Oryctolagus cuniculus: one gene and its partners. The protein of the gene in region 2 interacts with the protein of the main gene of each other region in a biochemical or structural test. Links are inferred from orthologs where the notes say so. Each region holds a gene or a part of one and is shown on either strand. Other genes may lie near its edges.

Region 1 (2,746 bases), on a different chromosome or scaffold from region 2:
CACCCCGTCCACAGGTGCGATTCCCGTCTCACTTCAGCTCGGACTTGAAGGACCTGCTGCGGAACCTCCTGCAGGTGGATCTCACCAAGCGCTTCGGGAACCTCAAGAACGGGGTCAACGACATCAAGAACCACAAGTGGTTTGCCACAACCGACTGGATCGCCATCTACCAGAGGAAGGTGGGTGTCGCCTCCCCACCCTCTTCCCCTGCCCCGGGCATTGGGGAGAGATGGAAAGGGAAGAGGGCACAGGCTCTAGGCAACCTGGAGTGGACAACCTAGACGTGGAGGCCTGGAGATGGGAGTCTGGGGCCATTTGGTCGCTCCGTGCCCCCCAGGCAGCAGCTGACCCTGTCTCTAGGAAGTCATTGGCTCCTTTGGGGAGCCGGCTGCCGTTCAGAGTCTCGGGTTGGTAAGGGGAGTCTATACCTTAAGGCCGGGCACACATGTGGGTCCCAGTAATTATCTCCTGGGTGTTAGGCTTTTCGCATTTATTGTTGTACTGATGTCACTTGTTGACTACTGAAGTCTGGGTGGCTCTTGGTCCCTCTCCAGGTGGAAGCTCCTTTCATACCAAAGTTTAAAGGCCCCGGGGACACGAGTAACTTTGACGACTATGAGGAGGAAGAGATCCGAGTCTCCATCAATGAGAAGTGTGGCAAAGAGTTTGCTGAGTTTTAGGGGTGTACCCGTGCCCCTATGGGTTTTCTTTTCTTTCTTTTTCTTTTTTTTTTTTTCGGTGGGGGTGGGTGGGAGGGTTGGATTGAACAGCCAGAGAGCCCCCCGAGTTCCTTGCATCTAACTTCACCCCACCCCACCCTCCCAGGTAGGGGGGAGCAGGAGGCCCAGATATTTAGAGTAAAGGAACCACCAGCCGCACCCCCTCCTGCCCCTCCCCCAGGAGCCCCCACCCCCAACCCACTTCTGCCTGTTTTAAACACGTTCATCAGCTCCAGTGAGACAAGGTCTTGCTGGTGCGTCCAGGGACAGGGTGCAGAATGAAGGGCCCAAACTGAACTCCAGCCCGGCACCCCTGTGCTTACCCCACCACAGGCCGAGGGCGACAGCGATGGAAAAGCCAACCTTCCCTTTGGAGCCGGGGCCCAGGGGAAGGAGAGAGTTTGTCTTTTTTTTTTTTTTTTTTTTTTTTTTAGTGACCTGTTCAGTGGGCTTCTTGCTAGGATTTTTTTTTTTTTTTTTCTTAAGAAACCATTTAAAATCTTATTTAAAGTCCACCAGTGCCTCCTCCACCCCCGCCCCCCAAGCCCACGAGAACCAGGCTGGGAAGGAGATCAGCTTTGTCCAAGGAAGGAGCTGGGGTGTGAGCCTCCGCCCCCCCTCTCAGGGTGGGGGGCGGTGGGGGTGTCCCCTGCCAAGCCTGCAGGGGGTGGGGGTCTCAGCCCCCTGAGCAAGCCCCTACTTCTCCCAAGAGACCTTTCCTCACCCTTGGGATTTGGAAGTCAGACAAAGCAGCTGCCCCTCTCCCTGCCAAAGAGTCCCCACCCCACCCCCACCCCGAGCCCCCCAAGAAAAGAGAGGGAGGGAGGGAGAGCCCAGCCCAGGGCCTCTCCTCCGAACTCCTGAATTTTATTCTCAGCTAGATTTTAAAGGCCCAGCCTCCCCGCCAAGGCAGCAACCCCGTGAAAGGACTAAGAGGCCAGGTCCCCCACCCACCCACCCCATGGCCCAGGGTTCAAGGCCACGGCCACTGGGGAGGGGCTGCCCGTTTTTATTCACCCAGTAGCTCTGGCACGCCCCGCCCCCCACCCCAAGCTGGGCACCTCGTCTCTAGCTTAACTGTCAGCTGTCCATCACCTCTTTCTTCCCGCCCCCACTCTCCTACGTCTGATTTGTGCTTTTTCCCCCCTCTCTTAAAAGTGGGGAGCAACTGGGGAGCCACCCCACTGGCCCCCCACTTTGCCCCTCTCTCTCCTAAGTTCTGCCCATCCCGGGAGGAGCTGCCAGGCCTGGGGTGGGGCCCGGGTGGGCGCTGGGGGCGAGTCAACCTGTGTGCGCAAAGGACGAGACTTCCTCTTGAAAGTGTGCTGTTGTAAACATATTTGAAAGCTATTACCAATAAAGTTTTGTTTAAAAAAAAAAGTGTCACTGGCGTTCCCGACTTCGGTCACCCACCCACACATCTCTCCCCGCGGCTGGGAGAGACTTGGGGGGCTGTGGGACCCCAGCGGCCAGGCTGACCAGGAACCGGCCGGGAGCCCTCGGAAACCCGGGTTTTTGGTTTTTTTTTTTTTTTAAGCTGGAATCGCGCCCCTCCCCACCCCGCAGAGGAAGGGGGCACCTCAGCGCCCTTTGACCCCGGGGTCGGGGTCCCCAAACCTGAAGCGCGGCCCCTGCGCGTCCAGCCCGGGTCCGAGAGGGCGCTCTCGGGGAGACACGGGCGCCGGCGCGCCGGGAGGCGGCCGAGCGGCGCGGGGCGGGGAGTGGGGGCGGGAGGCGGTGCGCGCCCCCTCCCCGCACCCTCAGCGTGGGACCCGGCGCGCCCTCAAGGGGCGCGGGGGCGGCCCAGGCGCCCCGCAGCGCCCCGCGAGCGCAGCGGCCCCGACCCGCGGGCGGCGAGTTCCCGGTAAGTACGGTCCCAGGAGCGGAGCGCGCCGGGGAGGCGTGGAGAGGGGGGCTGGGCGCCGGGGACGTCTGGGTCCCGCGCCCAATGGCTGGAGGGCGGCCGAGCGCCGCCCGCCCGCCCGCTCTCCCCTCCCCCCGGCGCTCCCCTCCCCCTCCCCCGCCCG
Region 2 (4,250 bases):
AGCCACCGACTGTCACTCACCAACACCCAGCAAAGCCAACAAACCCTCCCAAATCATCCAAGGTGAACCCCAAGCCAAGCCAGGCTACTGCCCCAAACACACCTGTTACGGAGGCAAACGCCAGGGGGTGGATTAGCGTCATGAGTGGCTGTGGACCTGGGGGGGGGGGCTTTCCCTCCTCTCCCCCTCCAGCCAGCCACACATTTCTTTCTGTACTCAGAGGGAGGGTTAGAGATGAGGGGCCGGAAATTCATAAAACACAGCTCAGAATCAGCCAAGCGGGAGAGACATTTCTCTTCCACCGTAGTATGGGCGTGGAGGGGGCAGGGTGGGGGAGGGGCCGGCCAGTGTCGCTGTCCCAAGGGGGAGCCAGCACTGGGCCAGGACTTGGAGCTACAGGTTCCTGAGTACCAGGGGGTAAGCGGGGTCTCCCGGGAGGGAAAAGAGCCCCCCGCTGCTGGAGCCGTTAGGGGGCGGGGGTGAGTGTCCCTAGGCACCACCGCGGGGGCTGGGCGCTGCGCATTCCCTCAAGGTCCTGGGGTGACACCATTAAGCCCCCCAAAACGGAGCGAAATCTCGGACCATGGCACCGGGCTAAAGGTGTTGTGCCTGCCGGGCTCCCTCTCCTCCCCAGGGGCTGCAAAGGGCTCCCCCTTTCCCGGGCCGCCCCAGCGCTGCCGAGGGGCGAAGGGCTGGGGGAAAAGGATGCTTGACTCAGTCCGGGGCGGCTCCTGCGGGCGCTCCACCCCAGCCAGGCTGTTCCAAGGAGCGGAACCCGAGAGGCCTGCGCGGACGAGCTGGCCCGACCACGCTCATCGCTCTCGGAGCCCCACGCCCACACCAGTTTCCAGCGCTGGAATAAAGCGGAAAGCCATCACCCGGGAGGTGGCCGCATACCCCCGTCTCACTGCCAAATGCGGCGACGAACTCCGACTCTTAAGTGAAAATCTCGCACTTAGCAATATTAATTAGCCCAGCCAAGATAATAAAATACATCCGGGACGCCTGTCTGGGTGGCTGCGGCCGCCGGGGACTAATTAGAAAGAGCCACAGGTCAGGGACGGGGGACTCCCCAGCGCGCGCATCTCGAGGCCCGCCCTGGGTCCCCAATTTCCGCGGGGAGGGGGCGGGGCGACGCCGCCAGGGTCCGTCACCGGACGCGTGCGGTTCCCATGGCAACTCCCCACTCAGCTAGCTCGGTGGGTCTGGAAAAAAATGGGTGTGGCGGTGGCGCCCGAGGGAACCTCACGCCCCCTCTTGACATTCTCCAGCCTGGCGTAGCAACAGGGCGTAAAGCCGGGAGAGACGCCGGCGGCGAGCGCGCCCCCATCGCCGGACAGCCGCGCGGGCGTGTCCCCCAGGACGCTGGCAGCCTCGGGAGGTGCACGGCGCGCCCAGACCCCGAATCCCACCCCCCTGGGCAGGGAGGGCGCTTCCCCCGCGTGGGGCTGACCTCCGGGAAGGGTGGCGGCTGTTCCACCAGCGCCCCGGAGGCTCGTGACCAGGGCTCATGGACCCCCGGCAAGCACCAAGAGCCGACAAAGGGTGGGAAACGAGGGGGCTAGGAGTCTTGGCTGAACGCCCTCGTGGAATGGAAGAAACCCCCAGACGGGGCCGCGAGCACGGATCACGTAAGCTCTAGGAACAAAGCAGCGAGCTGTCGAAGAAAATTCCGCGTGCTCGACCCCCGCGCTCACTCCCGCAGCATCCAAACGCCGCGATTTCGGGGCTGATGGTGTCCCCCCACCCAAGGCCAGTCCGTGCCCCGTTCCGCGGAGCCCGACCACCCGGCTCGGCTTGGGAACAGAAAGACGTGACAGCCGCAAAAAGATGGCACCTCGCGTTCGGCAGGGAAAAAACGGGGGAGGGGTGGGAGTGGGAGGAGGCACAGCCTGCTCCCCCCTCCGCCGCCCACCCGGGTCCACACCCACTGCCGCAGTGAGGGGCGAGCCCTGCGCGCCAGCCCCGCGCCTCCGGCAGGGAGCGCCCGGCGCAGAGCGAGAGAAAGGGACCCGCCCCGAAAGGCACCTGCAGCCCCCGCGCCCGGCTGTGCAGGGCTGCGGCCGTGCGCGCCCGCGAGCCGGGAGCCGCGGCCCCGCAGTCCGTCCACGTCGCACGGCCCGGGGCCGCCTGCCTCGGAGGGCGTCCCCGCGGGGACCCACGCACCATCTCTCCTCGGGCGCGGCGCTGCCCAAGTCCCCGTGCCAGGCGCGCGCAGGGGGAAGGGCGGCTGGAATGACAGCGCCTGGCCCCCTCCCCATCTCTCGGGTTCCTCCCAGCCCCCAAATGTCCCCTGTGGCTTTCTGAAGGAGGAACGGACGGAGGAGGGGGCGGCGAGGAGGGCGCCGCCGGGGAGGTGCGGGCACGGAGGTGTGCGAGCCATCGTCTTTTCGAGAACCCGATCCGGGTCTTGTTCTCAGCAGACAGCGGCAGAGAAGTCGAATTTGAGGTTCGGTTTCGGGGGTCGTCATTGGACTCCCCCCTACACACACACACGCCCATTGCGGCAAAAGGCTGCGATGGAGGACAGAGCGCAGCCCCCTCCCCCAGGCCACCATCCGCGCCCCACCCTGCGGGCACAGCCTCCGCCCGGGACCCCAGCCACACAAGCGCACGCACACACACGCGCCCCGGTCCACGCCGCCCGGCCCCAGCCCCCGCCGCAGGTGGGCATTAAACTCCGGCTGCGGCGGCTTGCGGAGCGCACGGGAGGCGGGTGTCCGAGTCCCGGCGCTTACCTGGTAGTCGGCAGACGGCGAGGACTGCAGCGGGCAGCCGAGGGAAGGCGGCGGCGCTGGCGGTGTGCAGACGGTGTGCAGCGGCGGCGGCGGCGCTGCTGCTGGTGCCGGAGCCGGTGGGTGGCGGTGGCTGCGAGCGCGCGCGCGCGGGCGAGGGGGCGCGTCCCCGAGCCCGACCGGAGGCGCAGGCGCGAGCCGCGGGGGCACGAGCCACCCCAGGGGCGGGGCGGGCCGCGAGGCCTCCGCGGGCGCCTTCTCCTCCGGCCGCCAGGGGGCGCGCGCGAGCGGCCCGCCCACGGCCCCCGGCTCACTCCTCTCCCGAGTCCCCTCCCCCACGTCTTGGGCCGCGGCGCGGCCAGCCGCGCGCACGCGCGCTCCGTAGCGCACGCGCACTTTAGGCCTCCCGCGGCTGCAGCCTTTGTCTTGTTGGGGGGTCTCCTCCCTCCGGCCCCTAGCTGAACGCGCGCTGCCATGCTGCCCTTTTGGTTTCCATCTGCCCGGGGCGGTGTCCTATGTCGGGAGCCCGCGGCGGGTTTCCGTGCACCTGCGACCTCCGCGCCTCTCCCCCGGGTCCCCCCGAAAGGCGCTCCCGGCTGGAGGTCACCGGCCCCGCTGCCTGTCTCCTTGCTGCTTGTCACCCTTTTTTGTCATTGAACAAGGTCACTTCTTTGCTTCATCGATCCGTGTCGTGGTGCTACTGTTACGGGTTCGTTTTTAAACGAACGGCTGCTCGGATCGCAGCGCAGCCGCGGCTGCAGGTGCAGCTTCCGACGCGGGTCTGCCAGTGCCTGCAGGGCACCGTCGGCCGGGATGGCTCTCGGCAGCCTGAAGCTGACCTGCGGCTGCCCTGGGAGTCCACACATCCCCAGCATCCGAGGAAGCCCCGACGTGGGAGACAGAAAGGGGCAGGGGCGGCCGTCTCACCCTCGCGGACGGGGGCTTGAACTCAGCCTTTCCTTGCATGGCTCCTTTTTTAGACCGATGTATGCTTTTGGATTAATATAAAAAGCAAACAGTGAAAATCCTGTCTTCACACGGGTTTAATTATTATTGGGAGCAGCGGGTAGATGATGGAGCTGGGGCTAACTGAAAAAAAAAATATCATTGATTTTCATTTTTGAGAGGCAGAGAGACAAAGATACTGACTTCCATCTGGTTCTGTACCCAAATTCCTGCAACAGCCAGGGCTGGCCCAGGAGCTTGGACGTCCGTCTGGGTGGCAGGGACCCAGGTAGGTGAGCTGCCCAAGGAGCGTGTGCCCGGCAGGAAGCTGGAAGGTGGAGCAGAGCCCAGGCACTCCTGTGGCCCGCGGCATCCCGCAGTTTCTTGGAGCGAATTTCTCTCTCTCTCTCTCTCTCTCTCTCTTTCTTTCTTAAACAGATTTATTCTATTTATTATTTGATAGGCAGAGTTACAGAGAGAGGTAGAGACAGAGAGAGGTCTTCCATCCACTGGTTCACTCCCCAGATGGCTGCAATGGCTGGAGCTGCACTGATCTGAAGCCAGGAGCCA
Region 3 (3,123 bases), on a different chromosome or scaffold from region 2:
CTCAAACTGGCGTCCACATGGGGTGCTGGCACTACAGATGGCGGCTTTACCCCACTATAACACAGAGCCAGCCCCTGCAGAGAAACTGTTATCCCTGCATTTGTCCAGGCACAGAAATGAGTAAGTCACGTTCCGCTTCCCCCTCAATGCAGGAGGTCCGTCCACGAAACACCCAAGTTGTGGTCCTGCTGCACACTGTCTACTCCTGTGTCAGGATTACAGCAGTTTAATCATAAAACCTAGGATATATTTTTATTTCTGGTAAATCAAATGCCCTTCATTGTTATTTTTCTTTCTTCTTTCTTTTAAATAATCTGAAAGGCAGAGAGTGACCAAGCATGCTCACCTCTTGGTTCACTCCTCTAATGCTTGCAACAGCTGGAGCGGGGCCAAATGAAGCCAGGAGCCAGGATCTCCATCTGGGTTTTCCATGTGCTTGCAGCTACCCAACTACTTGAGCTACCACCTGCTACCTCCCAGGGCATGCATTAGCAAGAAGCTGGAATCAGAGGTCAGTATTGTGGTGTAGTAGGCTAAGCCTCCGCCTGTGATGCCGTCATCCCGTAAGGGAATCAGTTGGAGACCTGATTGCTCCACTTTCAATCCAGTTTCCTGCTAATGGCCTGGGAAAGCAGCAGAGGACGGTCCAAGTCCTTGGGCCCCTGCACACACATGGAACACCCAGAAGAAGCTCCTGGCTCCTGGCTTCAGACTGGCCCAGCCCCAGCTGCTGCGGCTATTTGGAGTGTGAACAAGCAGATGGAAGATATTTCTCTCTCTCTCTCTCTCTCTCTCTCTCTCTCTCTTTCTCTCTCTTTCTCTCTCTTCCTCCTCCTCCCTCTCCTCCTCTTTGTAACTTTTCCCTTCAAATAAATAAAAAATAAACCTTTAAAAAAAAAAGAAGTTGGAATCAGGAGTGGTGCATTAGCAGGAATCAGCAGTGGAGTCAGGACTGTAAAGTGCATACTCCAAACTGGGATGTCAGCTCCCAAGCAGTATCTTAACCACTACACAAAGAGCCTGTCCCTTATTTTCCAAACAAATTGTGGCACATTTATTTTTCAGATTAGCTTTATAGCTACTTTGTCAGGTTCCTCACACATCACCAAAAAACTTCGTTAACATTTTTATGAAAAATGACTTTAATTTATATATTCAAAGAAAACAAGTTCCTACATTTCATGTTCTATAGTCTTTTACCGGGACTTGGTTTTTCTTATTCCTAGACAATATGTGTTACTGCTATATGAATAGGATATTGTCCAGCTGCTGATTGCTATTACTTTGCTCCTCATCACCTGACTGCTTGCTGATTAACCCTATCAACTGGCAGTTGATGCTTTGCTCACCTGTTCTGTGTCTCCTCACCCCGGAGCCTGCAAGGGCAGAGAGCAGCCTATGAGGAAAGAAGCAGGCATCAATCCCTGAACGTTCCTGCAGCTTTGGCTCTCAGTTTTTTCTTAAGTTTCCCTTTGGCCCAGACCAACCAGAAGCCAGCAGGCTTGGGACTCATCCTTGCAGACCACAGGGACACAGAAAGGGACATGTGGGAGGTGGATCTAACAAGCAAAGAGGAAGAACGTCATAAATGTGCAGATTTCCCAGAATGCACCTCCAGGTGACACTCACCTGCTCAAGGGCCGGACAGATGTACTAAGGCCAGTCTACTACCCCCTCTGCATGGCTGACGTGTTCAGTGTGTTATGTACAAACAAGGACAAAGCATGAGAAGGCATCTTTCCTTTGCAGACTCCTAGGATGTCTGAGCTGGAGAAGGCCATGGTAGCCCTCATTGATGTTTTCCATCAGTATTCGGGAAGGGAGGGCGACAAGCACAAGCTGAAGAAATCTGAGCTAAAGGAGCTCATCAACAATGAGCTTTCGCATTTTTTAGAGGTGAGTCTTGCTACAGCTTATCCCTTCTTCTGTCTTATAGAATGACTTTGCACTTTCTTTTCTGAGCTGCTCTGAAGGTGATTCCAGTTCTGTCTTGGGATACCTGGGTTGCTTCTAGAACCTCTTTGCACTACTGAGTCCTCATTGTATGCAGACTCACTTGGATGGGCCTCTTTGTTTTCAATTTCTTGTCACCTGGCGTGGGCACAACAGCCCATCAGGAAACACTGCTGTAGAAGTAAATATTCCCAATCATGTTGACCTTTCTCTGAAAATCTAAGGACTTACAAATGATAATGATAGCAGAATGGGATGAAAAAATACTCATGACTTACCATTGGCCAAAGTGAACATATAAGCAAGCTAATAAACTTCTGCTTGGGGGAGAGGATATATTTTGGCTTTAGCTAGATGTTTACTATTTACCACGGAGATAAAAAGTGCCAGACATTCATTTGGTAAACATTTACTGATCCCTCAATAATCCAACACTGTGAGAGATACAAGTCAATACAAGTCAATGGCCTCTACTTTCAAGGCATCCAGCCTGGTCCATCAATGGTTGACTGTGACTGACTTGATTGAGGCCATGAGCAGGCCTGTGCACAAACTGTGGAAGCCCTGAGGCCTTACAGGCACCTCTGTGGAGTAAGGGATGTTGGCAAGAAACTGCCTTTAGTTTGGGCTCCTATTTAGGAAGCTGCACAAGGGCTCCTGATGAGCCCTATCCTTCTCCATGCAGCTCCTGTTCTGGTGTATGGTAGAAATCCAGACACTGGCATGAAAGATTCACTTTCCTTCCTTCTGTGTCCACTACCCTTGGATCAGCTGCCCATTGCTTCTACTGCCCACCAGCCTCATTCCCTCATGGAAGTGAACTGTAATCCACCCAGAACCTGATTCCCACAATGCCAGAACTAAGGCTGGATCACAGGTTGAAACAGTGGTCATGTGCACAGGTAGGGTGGGATTTTTGCCATCAGTGAATTTTCTGGGCATCAATATGACCAGTCACACACAGGAGAAATCAAAGTACTAGTACCTGAAGAAGATACTGGGGTAGGGCCCTGCTGCATGGTGATGGGGAACCACCCTCCTGCACTAGCTGAGTCTCTCAGTGCAGAGCAACACTGCTGGTTTCCAACAACAAAACATTGTTTGTTGTCTGGAAGGATGGTTGGGGTTCTTCTGTCCCCATTCCCTGTGACCCTCCAGCACTGTTAATGT

Evidence for each region. The genes of interacting proteins can lie anywhere in the genome.
Region 1: of the proteins of MAPT (region 2) and PRKACA, one has a biochemical effect on the other in vitro, tested with the Homo sapiens proteins (9 studies listed by BioGRID). The link is inferred for Oryctolagus cuniculus from reciprocal best matches to the Homo sapiens genes MAPT and PRKACA.
Region 3: the proteins of MAPT (region 2) and S100B form a complex in vitro, tested with the Homo sapiens proteins (2 studies listed by BioGRID). The link is inferred for Oryctolagus cuniculus from reciprocal best matches to the Homo sapiens genes MAPT and S100B.

Annotation. Positions count from the first base shown.
Region 1 is NC_091447.1:62,969,352-62,972,097, reverse strand, and holds the end of PRKACA (cAMP-dependent protein kinase catalytic subunit alpha), read left to right. Parts: intron 1-14; coding exon 15-179; intron 180-554; coding exon 555-680; 3' UTR 681-2,099; downstream 2,100-2,746.
Region 2 is NC_091448.1:17,309,963-17,314,212, forward strand, and holds the start of MAPT (microtubule-associated protein tau), read right to left. Parts: upstream 2,914-4,250; 5' UTR 2,739-2,913; intron 1-2,738. UniProt on the Homo sapiens protein: Promotes microtubule assembly and stability, and might be involved in the establishment and maintenance of neuronal polarity.
Region 3 is NC_091435.1:240,285-243,407, forward strand, and holds part of S100B (protein S100-B), read left to right. Parts: intron 1-1,749; 5' UTR 1,750-1,758; coding exon 1,759-1,896; intron 1,897-3,123. UniProt on the Homo sapiens protein: Small zinc- and- and calcium-binding protein that is highly expressed in astrocytes and constitutes one of the most abundant soluble proteins in brain.